Arabidopsis thaliana: one gene and its partner. The protein of the gene in region 1 interacts with the protein of each later gene in a pairwise test. Each region holds a gene or a part of one and is shown in the gene's direction. Other genes may lie near its edges.

Region 1 (5,437 bases):
ATAGATGCATGATGATGCTATTGATTGATCTTTTTGTTACAAATCATTGTTTTCTTTTGTCATTTCATCTTTAGGCTTTTCGATTTGTACAATCGCTTGTGACCAGTAAGAAACCATTGTTCTGATAAGGGGAAAATTCATATGTAATAAATATGCTTTGTTTGCCTTTTGATACAAAATCCACAATGGACGATTGGCAGTGTATGGAGTTGAACAACTTGAAACAACGAAAGAGAACAACAACAAATGAAACAAAATTACATTTCAATGAAAAAGCAGATAATGATTACTCTTCTTTGCCACCTCCCCATATCAAGGTTGCTGCTGAGCGTCCATGTAACCAGCGTCGGCGAGCACTTTCTCCCTCTTGGCCAGCTCAAGGTCTTCGTCCACCATCATCTTCACCAGCTTCTCGAACCCTACTTTTGGCTTCCACCCCAACATTTCCTTTGCCTTGCTTGCGTCTCCTTTCAGATTGTCGACCTCCGTGGGCCGGAAGTACCTTTTGTCGATCTCGACATGGTCTTTCCAGTTGAGCCCCACGTACCCGAAAGACACGTCCAGAAACTCCTTGACGGTGTGTGATTCCTCAGTTGCAACCACATAGTCATCTGGTTTCTCCTGCTGCAGCATCAGCCACATTGCTTCCACGTAGTCTCCTGCGAAACCCCAGTCTCTTGAAGCCTGTATATTTCCCAGGAAGAGCTTGGTCTGCAATCCGACCTTGATCCTTCCCAAGGCCCGAGTGATTTTCCGAGTCACGAAGTTCTCGCCTCTGCGAGGTGACTCGTGGTTGAAGAGGATTCCGTTGCAGGCGTACAGACCGTAGGCCTCTCGGTAATTGACTGTGTACCAATGAGCAGCGCATTTGGACGCAGCGTAGGGAGATCTCGGATGGAAGGGCGTGGTCTCTGACTGCGGAGGAGGAGTTGACCCGAACATCTCCGAAGAGCCAGCCTGGTAGTACTTGATGGCGCGGCCATTGTCAATGTTGTGAGATCTGACAGCCTCCAGGAGACGAAGAGCTCCAGTAGCGACAACGTCAGCAGTGTAATCAGGGATCTCGAAGGAGACGGCAACGTGGGACTGAGCAGCAAGGTTGTAGACCTCGTCAGGCTTGATGACGTCGAGCCAACGGCGGAGGGAGGAGGCATCAGAGAGATCACCGTAGTGGAGCTTCATGAGAGCTTTGTTGACGTTGTGGGGATCAACGTAGATATGGTTGAGTCGCTGAGTGTTAAAATTGGAGGATCGTCGGATGAGGCCGTGAACTTCGTAGCCTTTCTCGAGCAGGAACTCGGTCAGGTAAGATCCATCTTGGCCAGTGATTCCGGTGACCAGTGCAATCTTCCTCGGCTTCACAATGTCGGAATCGCCATTGAGAGATCTGGAGGCCATTGATGGGTGGGTGCAGAGTCAGATCGGATCAGAAGAAATGATTGGGCACGTCGCGCTTTCTGTTTTTGATTTTAGCGTCAACTGATTCGATGACTTATATATAATAAAGCCCAAGGACGAAGAAGACAGAGAGAGAGGGTTACTTCTGTAAACTTTAAAGGTGAATCTGTATGGCTACGTAAAGTTGTACTTGTATGGCAAATCGCCGGCAAGCGTTGACCGATTACGAATATTTTACTATCTATTGGGCCAAGATGGGCTTTAAATTACTGCTAATTTTATTGGGCTTATATATATATATAGCTCTACGGGTTGCGTTCAGACTAAACATCATTGTGGACTTTAGTAATTTGCCTTAAGTTAACCCATTTAGTTATATTATACTCGGCCTTATAATAACCATTGATTTTTTTTTTTCCCCACACGATCTCAACTTGCATGTCCTATTTATTAGATTCAAAATTCAAAAATGAAAGCGTAAAAATAAAAAACACGTAACGTTAAAAGGAGTAATTGTGAATATTAAAAGAATATGAGTGGTGGAAATTAAATCGGTGAAAGTAATAAAAAAAACGATTAGGAATGGGAGCCAATCAGCGCCTCTCTATTTGATAGTATTTATTTTTCTCCACTGGGAAAGTCAAAAAGTCATAAAAAGTGTGGTTAGGGTTTTCTCTCTCTCTGTTCTATCTCTCCCACAGAACACAAAACGTATCGCCGACGCCTCTCTTCTTATTCATATCTGTCTTTCTCATTGTCGAGTTTGGTCTAACATCTGATTTCTCGTTTCGTATAGAATCTGAGAAAGTGGTTAGTGAATAGACTTTAGAAAGAGTTTGCGATTGAATTTTTGTAAGAGAAATAGTAATGATGAAGAAAACGAAGAAAGGGAGAGTATCGTGGGCATCAGATAGTATGCTTTGTCAGGTATAGCCAACCCGTCGTCTTCTTCGTCGACCCAATCTTGTTCCTTATTCTTCTCTTACCTGCAAATTTGTAATTGTTCGGTTCGGACTTACCAGTTATCAAAGTTGGAATCGGACAGTTAACAAACGAATTGATTTTGATTGATTGCTTTTGATTAATTATTCTTAATTTTAAATTTACACAAAGATAAAACCTTTTCCATAAGTCACCGTCAAAGCAACAAACTTTAATAAGATGACGTTTTTTTTTTTTTTTTTTCTGGTAATGGCGAATCTAATTAATTAATTTTGTGTGCCTGAATGTTGATGACTTGATGTTATGAAATCTTCTTTACATAGTAGGGACATAAACAGCAAGAAATCCCAAAAAAAAAGAAGAACAATGTACCAATGTGGTCACTAATTTTAGAAAGATTGTGTTCCTCCTGAAATAGTGAAACATGTAGGACTCCCCTTATATATATAACTCATGTAAAAAAAAGGACTTTGTGGCTGCTGAGTACACACGCATTTGGTTACTAACTAAGTAAAGGATTTGGACAGGTAAAGTTGTTTCTTAGTGATGATTGTCCCGTTAAAGTTGCATCGAATCTTCCACCTGGTTTTGAAGCTACTGATTATGCAACGAAGCGAATCATCTCACACATTCCTCGGATCAAATGGAAACGCCCACCATTGGTATAATTCTTTTCTTGAATTGCAAACAATGTGACCCTTCTTGTTTTTATATAACTCTCACTGTCTTTCTTTATTCGCCGCCAAAATAGTTTGTCCTCGATGATGCTTTGCTTGTTGGGAGTGGTGGAAAAAGCATCGAGACTCGTTCTGAGAATCTTAGGATTTCTAAAGTCTTGGAAGCTTTCTATCCACATCGCTCTGTGATCCCTTCTCGGTAATTTTATCATTTGAGGATTTGCTTTTGTGCCATGTCATGTTTTTCCACTTATCAAATTCTCTCTGTTTTCTTCTAGTCCTTCGCTCACACTAGCTGTTGAAGAAGAACACTATGACGACGGCAAAACTCCTAATATCCCTCTCACTCACGTTGAAGATGAACGTGACGCTGCTGCTGAATCTTCCCACAGTTTCGAAGCTCCTGCAGCTGTTTCTGGACTTGGACCAGAGTTAAGTCTTCTTGCTTCTGCAGCTTTGTCTGCCTTAACTAAGGAACAGGGCTCTCAGGTCGATCCTGATTTACTTGTCAAGTTACTCAGTGACCCCAAAATCGTTGAGAACTTGATCAATGGCATGAAAGGTAAACCACTTGAAACTGCAAATAACAGTCTAAACACTGACATCACCGAACCTAGACTTGCTCCTCAACATGTCACCTCCACAACCATGGACAGAAACCCACCTCCCATGCCTGGAAATGTTGCGCCACATAATGTACCTGTTTCGGTTCAGTCCAGTGCTACAGATCCTCCACTCCCCAAACCCAATCAGCCCATGTCCAGTGCTCTCTCAATGAACCTTACCCTCCAGAAACCCACCCCGGTTGTTCACAACTATCCATTGTCTTCTGGGATCAAAGTTGAGGATTCTTACACAGCTGCTCCCTTGAAACCAAGCACAGGGGATGATGTTGTAGTCTCAGAACAAAAGACCCAACTCCTTTTCCCTTGCAGCTCTTGGAATATGAATAAGGTACCGGAGTCAGCGCGAACTGAAACAGATCCTCAAATCCGTAATGGTAACACAAACCGGGATGATCAGGTTTCTGCAAAACCCGTGAAAGATCTAGACTACTTCAAGAACCTCATTAGGGAACATGGGGCAGTCAAACCGGCAACAACTGAAACTAACAATTACAAAGGAAGAGTTGATCATAAGAAAATCGTAAAGGTTAGGATTCAGAAACCGTGCATGTATTTTAACAGGCCCAAGGGGTGTCGGATGGGCGAGAGTTGCTTGTATCTTCACGACAGTTCTAAAAGGTTATGGACTGATGTTGCACCTCCTCACTTTCCCAGAGCTAAGAGACTCAAGTTTGGATCGTAATACAGCTACGATATGACTCAAAATTTAACACCAAGCATGTCTGAAATTATTGGTAAATAGCTTCATCCAAATTCTGATAACTTGTTTAACAAGTTTCCCAAAGTTAGTCAGTCATCCATGTTTTTTTTTTTTGGGTCCACCCGTTGCCGTAACATTTCTTTTGGCCATCTACAAGGTTATCATTTTAGTACTTGGACCAAGAGTTTTGAGAAGTTGGTCAATTTTGTTGCCGGAGAAAAAGACGGATTATTACAATCCATAAAATTAGTTAATGATATCACTGGAGTTCAATTTCTTTTTCTACCATAATTTTAAAAATGTATTGAAATTTTTAAATCTCTGGAATAACAACACCGAAGATATTAATTCCATTAAATAAAAAAGAAAGTGAAATTAGAAACAATGAAACATAACCGCTTAGTCTATTTTGTTGAATGTTGATTATGTCATTAATGAGTTGAACTAATCTAGCGAAAACAAAGACTTAGGGTAGTATAATCATTTGTATGAAAAAGGTACATTTGGTTATAATTGTATCATCTGTATGAAGAAGGACACAAAAAGCTCACATAAAGAACACCCGACATGTGATCCCTACACCTGTGCTCAACTAAAACTCAAAATTTCTTGTCTGTTCTATTTTGCTAAATAGTTATACCAATAATATAATTTTGTGATTGGTGTTACCAAATATATAAATGAATATATAATATATATAAAAGACTTCGAGTTTATCCAAAACTCGTTGTGTAATGTGGTTTAGGAATAACGATAAACTGAAACGGTTATGTCAAGTTTTTTCTTAACGCGATATGAATGATTGGATGGTGGTTTAAATAGTATATACTTTTAGTCAATATCAATTGTTAAGAACATTTTATCGTTGCTACACCAATTACGTCACCGCTCATACGATACCAATATTAATATCATGATGATATCATACTTTGGGAGCCAAGTGTCCGAAATTTTTGAGATGTAGAAGACGTTTACTTCTATAAATTATTGGTTAACAAATTAATCTGAAACTTAATCATATGATATGGAAAAAGTCTTGTCGTGTTTTTGTAGTGGTGCCTGGTCGTGAGTGGTGAGTCTGGTGACATCCCACC
Region 2 (4,459 bases), on another chromosome or scaffold:
ATTACAAAACGCAGCCTAGTCACATCTATCTAATTCTTTAAATTTTGTTTTCATATCAAAATTGATTTCTACTATTATATATTCCCAGAGTGATTAGATCAGAATAATCAAAAGATGCCACCTAATTTATATACATAACTTTTTTGGTTTTTGATGTTGAAAAGTAGTGACAAAAGATTTTTAATAGACCATCATTTTATAACATGCAAGTAAATATCTCGATTTAAATATATTTTTAATAACATCACGAAACAAATTTGTTAAAACCTGACATAAAGTGATCCCCACCGGCCAAAATAAATCTTCTATTGGTTGTGTATTTTCTGACAAACATTTGTTTTAAAGATTTTTAATTTTAATCGGATACTTAACCATATATTTGATATGGAAATACATTATATTTTTGTTTAAAGTAAAATAATAGAACATGAGTGTAACTAGACGACCCCCAACCTGCAAACAGATTATTTGGTCTTGTGGACTGGTCTACTACTATCTCACGTGCAAACTTGACGCTGCAATGTATACATTTATCTATATGCATCTATGTATCTAAATAGTAATTAGTAACCATAGATAATGGATCTAATTCCACGAAGTTGGATAGATATTCTAAGGTAATATCTGGTAGAATTTTAATTTTCAAACCAAAAAAATTGTTACCAGATGTGAATGCGTAGAACTAAAAATTAATTGGCGTAGACCGTCCTAACTGGAAACTCAAATAACTTTGTTTACAAGTAGCATGTAACTGTATATATATAATGCTTTAGAATTTTTATGGTCCAATTGAAAATTTCACATTTTCGTTTTATTGTATCACTCACTTGTCCGACTGACGTAGAATTGCACGTCTTAATTTTTTTTTGGCGAAAACGCTAATCCGCAACAAAAAAATTTGTTAAAGTAGTCCGTAACTTTTTTTTTGGTTAAAGTAATCCGCAACATGACATATTAGTACTAACGAACTATTGTTTTTTCTATTAATTTTTTGCTATATTTAGAATTTTAAGTAGTTTAGCCATCACCATCTGTGTATCCTTACACTATACATATTCGGAAAAACTCGAAAGAGGTTTTAACTGGTTATGATCACCACCAGCAGTCCAGCACCAGTTTTCTTTCACTCGAACGTCAATATAAATTCACTGCCCACTATATCAGCTTTACCATTTCTTAATAAATTATTTATTATTTATTTGATTTTGAACTAAGAAAGATTATGGGTTTTTAGGAATAGTTCCAAACAATTAACATCTTAATAATAAAATTACTATATAATAAAACTAATTTATATTAAAAACATTATGAACAATTTTTTTCTTTATTTTCTTAACCTCTAATTATTATGAACAAGTTATTTAAATACAATTGGGATGATTATTACAAGTGCACTTTATATCTCCTTTTCAGTGTTTTTTATATATATATTGGTGACAAATACATCTTTTCTTTAGTTTTATTTTTCTTTTCGTTTTTGATCTCTGCGGGAGCATTTATTTTTGGTCAACTGTGAGAGCATCAAAAAAAAAAAAAAAAAAATTAATAGCCTCACAAAGCTTCTCTCAATTCCCTTTTTAAATAAATCACACCACTTTGTTTGATCCTCATATTTCGGTTTTCACTCTCATATCTTTCTTTTGTATATTTATTTTTGTTGAAGATTCACTCTCCTATTCTTCCTCCATGCCGGTGAGTTCTTGAGAATTTAATATTTTGTAAATCAATTTACAAAAAATCTTCATATAACTAATACCATGCTTAGTTTCCTTTAGTGGGCTTAACCCTTTTGCCTTTATTTCCCCCTCGAGACAAAAAGGAGAGCGACAAACACTTCCTGTCTAAATTTTGTTTTCTCTCCTTCTCTCTCCCTCTCTCGGTTTCTCAATCTTTCTTATTTTTTCCATAATTCTGAATTTTTCTTTTCAACAATCTCCGGCTAAAAAATGCCCTTAGAGGCTGTCGTATACCCGCAAGATCCATTCGGATATCTCTCCAATTGCAAAGATTTTATGTTCCACGACTTATACTCTCAAGAAGAGTTCGTAGCTCAAGATACGAAGAACAACATTGATAAGTTAGGGCATGAACAGAGCTTTGTGGAACAAGGTAAGGAGGACGATCATCAATGGCGAGACTATCATCAGTATCCTTTGTTGATCCCTTCGTTGGGAGAAGAGCTTGGTCTTACCGCCATTGATGTGGAGAGTCATCCTCCTCCACAGCACCGGAGGAAGAGGAGGAGAACGAGAAACTGCAAGAACAAGGAAGAGATCGAGAACCAGAGAATGACTCACATCGCCGTCGAGAGAAATCGCCGGAAACAGATGAACGAGTATCTGGCTGTGCTCCGTTCTCTAATGCCGTCGTCGTATGCTCAAAGAGTAACTTACTAATTCAATGTTTATATATGCTATATATCATTTGGTCAGGGTCATTCTTAGGTATATGTGTCTTTGTTTTATTACTTGCTTGGCTGTAGTACTCATTTCTCCATAATATATTAACACAAAAGAATAGAATGAAAATGACTGAGAATATATATTGATGTTTTTATACAATATATTAACAAGAAAATCCACCGTAAATATGGAAGGGTGACGCGTTTATATACATACTAATAATCTTTGCTGTTACATATTTTAATGTATTTTTTAAAATAAAATATTATGTGTCACCAAAAATTAGAACGAGTATGATTGAGAATATTGGGATATGTTTTAGAACAATTTCGTAATAAACTTAAGCAATTAGCAATGATACGTGTGTGTGTATATTTATACATTCAAAGATTTTTTCAATCTTTATGATAACTATATGATCTGACATGAGCGGGTTTTGGTGGTAAAGGGAGATCAAGCGTCGATAGTAGGAGGAGCTATAAACTACGTGAAGGAGTTAGAGCATATTTTACAATCTATGGAGCCGAAGAGAACTAGGACTCATGATCCCAAAGGAGACAAGACTAGCACTAGCTCGTTAGTGGGTCCATTCACAGATTTTTTCAGCTTCCCACAATATTCTACAAAGTCATCATCAGATGTACCGGAAAGCTCATCTTCACCGGCGGAGATAGAGGTTACGGTGGCAGAAAGCCATGCGAACATCAAGATAATGACGAAGAAGAAACCGAGGCAGCTTCTTAAGCTCATAACTTCTTTACAAAGCCTAAGGCTCACTCTTCTTCATCTCAATGTCACCACTCTCCACAACTCCATTCTCTACTCCATCAGCGTCAGGGTACGTACATTTTCAACTTCTCATCATTACTTTGTTTGCTTTTGGGGTAATCATGAGATTAAAGTGAGTAATGACTGTGTGTGTGGTGCATATGGTTTCACTTTGTTGATTTATTTTTTTGTCTCTTATTGTTGGGGGGAAATTTTGGATTAGTACTATTGTGGTTATGCCTGGGCTTTAAAAAGGTTGTGAAGAAAAATTAAAATCATTCTCTTTGTTTTTTTCTTACCTCCTTTGGGTACTTAGGGCTGGGGCCTCAATAGTTGTGGGTCAAACTCATAATCATCATTTTGATTATTATTTTTGTCAATAATAAATTGCGTATCTTAATCGTGCCTGTAAGAATCAGGGGACCAACCTAAAGAAACGAAACACGAATATGTGTCTATCTATATCCACGAATTGTATACGTGGTGTTGTGTATTTATATATGTTTATGTATATGTTTATGTACTGTGGATATATGTTCGGTGGTCACATAATTGTAGATGAGATATGTACGGACAACGAAGTGAGTCCACCATTTGTTTCAGGAGATATTTAGCAAATAGAAAGATATTTTGTTATAGTTATCTACATCCTTCTAATTTTGTTTGTTGCAACTTTTTTCAAGAATTGTTATGTATATCTTTATTTCTTAAGAGAAAATGTGTTGGTTCAGGTTGAAGAAGGAAGCCAACTGAATACCGTGGACGACATTGCAACAGCTTTGAATCAAACCATAAGGAGGATTCAAGAAGAGACATAATTCAGCAAATAGATTATAATTAACTTGTTTTATTTTTATTTTATTTTGAAATAACTGAAATCAGTTTTCTAATTTTTTTTTTTTTTCACTATTCCTCTAATCCTCCCTATGTAAGTTGCATTTTTGTCTCTTGTAATGAATCAATGGTCATAAAGATCTGAACAAAAAAATTGAATAAAAGAAAATGGTTTAAGTCGATAAGTATGTGACATTGGGCGCTAATAGCCGTTAGGCCTACGCCTAATGTACTTCTCAGTGTTTTTAGGGTTGTGTTTAGTGTATAATTATAATGATTAATAGTATGATTGATTAATTTTTGAATTTATTTTCTTCAAAGATGAATTCGTCTTTTTCTAGAACTTTTAAAGTTTGTGGGTTCAACTTTTAATCCGTTAATCACTAAATTTTAGCATGCTCCTACGATAGTGGAGGTTATACCTTTGGCTTTGAATGCAAACAAATTCTTTCTAT

The links.
Region 2: the proteins of AT5G66270 (region 1) and AT1G22490 interact in a two-hybrid assay, tested with the Arabidopsis thaliana proteins (one large-scale study listed by BioGRID).

What each region holds. Positions count from the first base shown.
Region 1 is NC_003076.8:26,472,395-26,477,831, reverse strand, and holds AT5G66270 (Zinc finger C-x8-C-x5-C-x3-H type family protein), read left to right. Parts: upstream 1-1,992; 5' UTR 1,993-2,265; coding exon 2,266-2,325; intron 2,326-2,867; coding exon 2,868-3,002; intron 3,003-3,091; coding exon 3,092-3,216; intron 3,217-3,295; coding exon 3,296-4,325; 3' UTR 4,326-4,746; downstream 4,747-5,437. Other genes in the region: AT5G66290 (uncharacterized protein), read left to right, coding at 201-536; GMD1 (GDP-D-mannose 4,6-dehydratase 1), read right to left, coding at 313-1,398.
Region 2 is NC_003070.9:7,937,977-7,942,435, reverse strand, and holds AT1G22490 (basic helix-loop-helix (bHLH) DNA-binding superfamily protein), read left to right. Parts: upstream 1-1,810; 5' UTR 1,811-1,946; coding exon 1,947-2,384; intron 2,385-2,850; coding exon 2,851-3,393; 3' UTR 3,394-3,839; downstream 3,840-4,459.